Linked DNA regions of Macaca mulatta. The protein of the gene in region 1 purifies or fractionates together with the protein of each later gene. This does not show direct contact. Links are inferred from orthologs where the notes say so. Each region holds a gene or a part of one and is shown in the gene's direction. Other genes may lie near its edges.

Region 1 (4,049 bases):
GGCTAGAGTCAGTGACCATAGCTAATTACATAACTCGGTGTTAACTACATTTCCTGGGCCCTTTCAACCACATCTGAAGTTTCCTTCACTTTCTTCACCTGTACCAGCACCAGTAGCGCTGGTGAGTACCCAATTGTTTGCTGTTTACAAAGTAGATTCATCGTAAAGCTTCTAATATAGTAACAATACAAGGCTTTAGTCTCACCATTTATTTTCTCTCCCATTTAAACAACTTCAAGAGACAGGTTAAGAAAAAAATCAGGTGATTAAAGTAGATGGAACTACTGAGACTACCGTCCCTTCTTACTCAATCTTGAGCCCTTAGTGCCAGATGGCAGATAGCAATTCAAAAAGCTCTCCCTCCAATTATAAATATCACACGTACTAGATAGAGGAAGCTCCCAGTTCTGACCAAGCTTTGTGTGATCTCAACCAAGCAGTTATGCTCCATCTTTTTGTCCATCTCTAACCTACTCCTTTCACTTGGAAGGTAATTAACAACGGCGACCACAATCTACCGCAAGTCTCCCGTGTCCACGTAAAATACTCGCCATTGCCCCCAGTCTTAGCCGTTTAAGTAAATGTCCCCAGTCTTTTACTACGATCACTCCTCCTCCATTCGCAACAAACTAGGACCGAAAGGTCCACATGATCCTTCTTCCTTTCCGATTAAGCCGGGGGAGTAGGAAGTGAAAGATATACTTTGAAGGTAAACTGAAAAGTCGGTTTTTGGATCCCCAGCAAGCCCTTGCCTTAATGCCGGGTGGTAAGAGAGTCCCTCCCTAGGATGTAAAGCGATGCCACCATCCCGAGTGCCACTACTGACGCTCAAGCCTACGCCCCCTCACCTGAGCGCAGCCCCTACTCCCCGAGGCCCCGCCCACGCACTCTCACCTGAGAACAGCACCAGCTCCCCACAGCGACACCGCCCGCGCCCCACCATATAGCCAGATCACGGCTTCTCCTTCCGGGTGAGTCGCCGGTGCCCCAGTGCACGACGGGAGACGCCCTAACCCCGGCTGCCCAGGACGCCCCGCCTTTACAGGCCCGGGCTCTGAGTGGGATTCCCGCTTCCGAACGGCGCAGTTCCGCTTGCCAAGGCCCGGGACTGGAGTCGGGATCCCCCCTCCACTCACTTGGGACGCTAGAGAGTGGACGCAGGTGCGGGGTGAGGGACGGCGAATGGGCTCGGATATCCAATCCGGGGCCGCTTTCCGCCCACTGTCAGGGGAAGCCAATCAGCGGCCAGGGGGCGTCCGCAACGGTCAGCCAGTGGGTCGCGAGAGCAGAGGGGTGTGAGGGGATTGTTACTCTTGTTCCCTTAATGCGAGGTACGGTCTGCAGTGTGGGAGGTTCGGGGCTTTAGGAAGCCCACATCCCTGGATCCTCACTAAGTCTCGAGAGTCACCATTGGAACCTCGTAGTTTGTTGTTCCCCAGCGGAGCTATCAAGGGGACTCCGATTCCGATTCGTAAAGCCACTGACCGATTGTCAGAGTGAAAGCCAGACTCGAGAGGGTCCGGCGACTCAGATGGCTCACACCAAAACAAACTGGAAGCAGCATCATGCAGCTAGGGAGCAAGAGAAAACCGTTCAATGTGTTGAAGACTTTTGCGATGGTCTTTTAACAACTTATTTAAAGATAATTTCAGCAAGTCTAGCGCGGTGGCTCACGCCTGTAATCCCAACACTTATTAGAGAGGCCGAGGCGGGAGGATCGTTTGAGGCTAGTCTTGAGACACGCCCTACCAAAATTTAGGGAGACTCTCGTCTCTGCAAAAAAAAAATTTAAAAATTAGCCAGGCGTGGTGGCATGTGCCTGTAGTCCCAGCTACTAGGGAGGCTGAGGCAGGAGGAAGTCTTGAACCAGGGGTTCGACGCCGCAGGGAGCCCTGATCTCTGCAGAGCAAGACCCTGTCTGAAAAAAAGAAAAACAGCTAAAAGGAAGAAAAGAAAGGGGCCGAGCACGGTGTCTCACGCCTGTAATTCCACCGCTTTGGGAGCTGGAGGCGGGTGGATTACCTGAGGTCAGGAGTTCGAGACCAGCCTGGCCAACACGGTGAAACCCTGTCTCTACTAAAACTACAAAAATTAGTTGGGCATAGTCATGGGCACCTGTAATCCCAGCTATTCAGGAGACTGACGCAGGGGGATTGCTTGAACCCAGGAGTCGGAGGTTGCAGTGAGCCAAGATTGCGCCATTACACTCCAGCCTGGGAGACTCCATTGTAAAAAAATAAAAATAAAAATAAATTAAGGAAGATAGCTGGATTCTCATATGTGCTTCCCCTTTCTCTGTTGTGCTCTGTTGTTTTGGTACATTAAGAAAATTCAGCCTTAAATAGATATGTAGTTGAGAAAAGGAAGAGTATATTTAGCCTTCTCAAACAATTTTGAATATTCTTCTTTGATACTACCCAAATTCAACAAATGGTAACTTTTCTTTGTTTTTTTGAGACAGGTTCCTGCTCTGTTGCCCAGGCTGGAGTGCAGTGGCAGGATCACAGCTTACTGCAGGCTCAACCTCCAGGGCTCAAGTCATCCTCCCACCTCAGCCGTTGGAGCTGCTGGGACCACAGGTGTGTGCCACCATACTCGGTTAATTTTTTTAATTTTTATACAGATAGAGGCTCCCTATGTTGCCGAGACTGGAAGTGTTTATTTATTTATTTATTTATTTTTTAAGTACACACCACCTTGGAGATGGAGTCATTTCTTAAAGGTTAAGTGGGCCGGGCGCAGTGGCTCACGCCTGTAATCCCAGCACTTTGGGAGGCCGAGACGGGCGGATCACGAGGTCAGGAGATCGAGACCATCCTGGCTAACACGGTGAAACCCCGTCTCTACTAAAAATACAAAATTTTTGTATTTTTACAAAATTTTTAAAAATACAAAATTTTTGTATTTTTGTATTAGTCTCTACTAAAAATACAAAAAACTAGCTGGGCGAGGTGGCGGGCGCCTGTAGTCCCAGCTACTTGGGAGGCTGAGGCAGGAGAATGGCGGGAACCCGGGAGGCGGAGCTTGCAGTGAGCTGAGATCAGGCCACTCACTCCAGCCTGGGCTACCGAGCGAGACTCCGTCTCAAAAAAAAAAAAAGGTTAAGTGCAGGCCAGGCGTGGTGGCTCACACCTATAATCCCAGCACTTTGGGAGGCCGAGGCGGGTGGATCACAAGGTCAGGAGATCGAGACCATCCTGGCTAACACGGTGAAACCCTGTCTCTACTAAAAATACAAAAAATTAGCCGGGCGTGGTGGCGGGCGCCTGTAGTCCCAGCTACTCGGGAGGCTGAGGCAGGAGAGGCAGGAGAATAGCGTGAACCCAGGAGGTGGAGCTTGCAGTGAGCCGAGATCACGCCACTGCACTCCAGTCTGGGAGACACTGCGAGACTCCATCTCAAAAAAAAAAAAAAAAAAGGTTAAGTGCAATAGGGAGTCTGAAGCCATTTAAAAAATACTGGTACAGAATTATGCAGATCAGTCAATGTTAATGCATTTATTCAATGTAAAAAAAATCACATTTATTAAATTCATCACTGATCTCATCAGGAAAGTCTCAAGAAACTGCATACTGACTAGCTGGGATTACAGGCACGTGCCACCATGCCCGGCTAATTTTTGTATTTTTAGTAGAGACGGGGTTTGACCATATTGGTCAGGCTGGTCTTGAACTCCTGACCTCATGATCCACCCGCCTCGGCTTCCCAAAGTGCTGGGATTACAGGTGTGAGCCACCATGCCTGGCCTCACATGTCTTAATATTAAGACAGCCTCGACCTCCTGGGCTCAAGTGATCCTCCTATTCAAGCCTCCTAAGTAGCTGGGACCATAGGTGTATGCCACCATGCCCGGCTAATTTTTTATTATTATTTGTATAGATGAGGTCTCACTATGTTGCCCGGCCTGGTCTTGAACTCCTGAGCTCAAGCAGTTCTCCTACCTCGTCCTTCCAAAATGCTGGAATTACAGGGGTGAGCCACTGTGCCCATTTTTCTTTTCATTTCTTTTTATTTTTTATTTTTTGATTTTTTGAGATGGAGTTTTGCTT
Region 2 (3,500 bases), on another chromosome or scaffold:
AAAAGAGGATTCAAGGATGACTCCAGGAGTTCCGGTCTGAACAGCTAGAAGGAGGGAGCTGATGATGGGGAAGACCAAGGAGGGGAGTGGGTTTGGGAGATTAATTAAAAGTTGGAACAGTTTGGACAGACAGTAAGGGGGAGAGCAGGATTTGAACCTGGTAATCCTCACGCTAGAGCCCATGCTTTTTAACCACCGCATGAAGTCATTCCAGAAAAGGGGTGGGGTGGGTTAGGTGTTATCCATCAGCTTTGGCATGGAAGCCCCATGAAGGCTGGCCCAAAGATCTCACCACTTATGGTACCACCGTTCCCCTACCCACCCCCAACAGGAACAGGAATATTACCTGGTGAAATGGCGCGGATATCCAGACTCAGAGAGCACCTGGGAGCCACGGCAGAATCTCAAGTGTGTGCGTATTCTCAAGCAGTTCCACAAGGACTTAGAGAGGGAGCTGCTCCGGCGGCACCACCGGTCAAAGACCCCCCGGCACCTGGACCCAAGCTTGGCCAACTACCTGGTGCAGAAGGCCAAGCAGAGGCGGGCGCTCCGTCGCTGGGAGCAGGAGCTCAATGCCAAGCGCAGCCATCTGGGACGCATCACTGTAGAGAATGAGGTGGACCTGGACGGCCCCCCGCGGGCCTTCGTGTACATCAATGAGTACCGTGTTGGTGAGGGCATCACCCTCAACCAGGTGGCTGTGGGCTGCGAGTGCCAGGACTGTCTGTGGGCACCCACTGGAGGCTGCTGCCCGGGGGCATCACTGCACAAGTTTGCCTACAATGACCAGGGCCAGGTGCGGCTTCGAGCCGGGCTGCCCATCTACGAGTGCAACTCCCGCTGCCGCTGTGGCTATGACTGCCCGAATCGCGTGGTACAGAAAGGCATCCGATATGACCTCTGCATCTTCCGCACGGATGATGGGCGTGGCTGGGGCGTCCGCACCCTGGAGAAGATTCGCAAGAACAGCTTCGTCATGGAGTACGTGGGAGAGGTAGGGAGATGGGACCAGTGTGTGTGTGCAGCTCTTCCCACCCTGTGTTCACAGTGTGCACCCAGCTCTCCTCACTGTGTGTCTGCAACTCCCTGCTTTCCCTGTGGGAAAGGCCTGGTACACTGATCTAAGAGTGTCATAGGGACATCGGGCAGGGACAAGTATTCCATGCTGGTGGTTACAGAAACACCGAAATACTTCTGCACTGGGTTGACTTTATCAGGGTACTTAGCAAAGAAGAAAAGTGGGAGCTGAGATCCAGGCAGCCTTAGCATTCCTTGTATCAGGCCATGTGGTCTGGCATAGGGCTGCATCAGCTGGAAAGGCACTTCCTCTTCTCATTTCACAAGGGCCCATCTTATCACCAAGCAGTATCTGCCTGAGAAGCATTGTTTTACCAGTCTGCACAGAAGGAACGCAGTCTGGAGTAGGATGAGACATGCTTTGGACAAAGGTTGGCTAACTCCTTTAGACTTTCAGGACACTGGGGAAAGCTGAGTGTACTAGGCAAGCCAGCCATTGTAAAAACAACTCCCTCATCTTAGTGACTTTGCACATTACAAGTTTGCTTGCTTATGGAACAGTCCACTGTGGGGGTTTGGGTGGGTATCCTTTCACACAGCGACTGGGATACCGAGGCTCTTTCCCTCCTGTGCCTTTGCTGTGTCTTGAAGCCTTGGAGTCACCACTAGATCATCAGCATTGCCTAGCAGGCGGGCCAAGTCGGGGATAGAAGGGGCCCATCCTAGTGGGCCAGGCCTAGATGCAGCACCCATCACTTCTGCTCATGCTCCACTGGCTGGAACTGAGTCACTGGCCTTACCTCCGTGCAAGGGAGGCAACGGGATGTGCTTTAGCCATGTGCCCAGCTGCACAAGGCTAAAGCACAGCCATAACTAGCAAGTAGATAACAAGTATCTACAACAGAAAAATGTCACATTCTAAGATGGGATGCAGTTAGCATTTGGGATGAGATGAATTTTTGTTATGTAGAACTGTCTCATGCATTGGGGGACATTTAGCATTCCTGGACCTTTACCATTTAAATCCATGAGTGTGCCCTGTCATAGTGACAACCCCAGATACCTGTATATATTTCCATAGGTCCCTTAGGGGTGTGATATGGTTGGAAAGTGACAGAAACTGGCCTGAGGAACACTCACATGAGGGTGTCCACACTGTAGCACTGATACTGATGACAAGGAGAGGCTCCTGCTCTGAGAAACTGTAAAGTAGAGAGGGTCACACCCCACAGGGACAGAGACAATCTTGGGCAGAACAATCTATACCACAGAGGACCCTGACAGTCTGGGCAAGGAGACAGCCACACCCTGTCCAGATAACCCTGCTGGCCTGCTGGAGGAGATGTCCACATGCCACAGGACCTGGCCATCTAGAAGGAGGAGTGGGGAGGTGTCCACACCCTGAGGGCTCCTGACAGTGGGAGCAGGAGGGAGTCCTGATAATCTGTAGGAAGTCCATGTCTCACAGTGACCCCAGTGACCTGGAGGAAGAGCTTGTGCTCTCCACACTCTAGAGGACCTGGTCTGATTTAGGAAGTGTCCACACCCATGCTGTCATGACAGGAAAAAGAAGTGTCCTCACCCCAGAGGGATCCAGACAGCCTGGAGATCTAGTCTATACCCAAGGGCACCCTGACAGTATCGGGGTAAGTGTCCATGCCCTCAGTGTCCTGACACTCTGGAGGAAGTGTCCAGAGGTTGAAGGAACCCAAACTCTCTGGAGGAGGACATGTCCAGACCCCACAGGACCCCGACAGTCCACCGTCCTAGGAGCTGCACAGAGCAAGAAGTATCTCAGCCTCACTGTACTGGCATCTGGAGGAAACACTGTCCACCACACAGGGTCCTGACAGTCGAGGAGGAAGACTCTATACCCCAAGGGCCGCCTCGGACCCTCCTGGGCCTGAGAGTTTTCTGGCTGCTCTTCCTTAGTGTCTTTAATCCTCTACCCTGGAAACATCAAGGTTTCCAGGGATCCTCTCAGCCCTGTCCTCACCCTTCCTGCTCTCCACACATTCTTGCTGCACTATTTCCTGGTCGCCCTCCAGCACTCTCAGATCTGTGGGTCCTCCTGATGTTGCCACAGGCCTCCGGAAAGAGCCAAACTCATCTTCCCGCATCCCCCTCTGAAGAGACAGTATAGCAAATGGTTAGGAGAGTGGACTCTGGATCCTGACTACCTGAGGCCGAAACCCAGCTCCACTACTCATCAGCAGTCACTAACCTCTGTGCCTGCATTTACTAATCTGCAAAATGGGAACGATAATAGCACTCAACTCACACACTTGTTACAAAAATTATTAAATGAGTTACTATGTATCAAGCACTTGGAAAAAGCACTTGAACAGTGTTCAGTACACAGTAAGTTTGATACAAACATTATCAGCACAGTCCAAACTTCAGCAAATCCAAAATGTCCAGAAGACCAAGTTTTTTTGTAACTCATCTGGCTACAGGACCCAGCCTGACTGGATAGGGTCCTA

The links. The genes of interacting proteins can lie anywhere in the genome.
Region 2: the proteins of CBX1 (region 1) and SUV39H1 purify together in Homo sapiens (affinity purification with mass spectrometry; 3 studies listed by BioGRID and IntAct, with this or other methods). This does not show direct contact. The link is inferred for Macaca mulatta from reciprocal best matches to the Homo sapiens genes CBX1 and SUV39H1.

What each region holds. Positions count from the first base shown.
Region 1 is NC_133421.1:61,909,832-61,913,880, forward strand, and holds the start of CBX1 (chromobox protein homolog 1), read left to right. Parts: upstream 1-1,249; 5' UTR 1,250-1,324; coding exon 1,325-1,331; intron 1,332-2,461; coding exon 2,462-2,579; intron 2,580-4,049. UniProt on the Homo sapiens protein: Component of heterochromatin. Recognizes and binds histone H3 tails methylated at 'Lys-9', leading to epigenetic repression. Interaction with lamin B receptor (LBR) can contribute to the association of the heterochromatin with the inner nuclear membrane.
Region 2 is NC_133426.1:48,776,311-48,779,810, forward strand, and holds part of SUV39H1 (histone-lysine N-methyltransferase SUV39H1), read left to right. Parts: exon of another isoform or gene 1-331; coding exon 332-994; intron 995-3,500. UniProt on the Homo sapiens protein: Histone methyltransferase that specifically trimethylates 'Lys-9' of histone H3 using monomethylated H3 'Lys-9' as substrate. Also weakly methylates histone H1 (in vitro).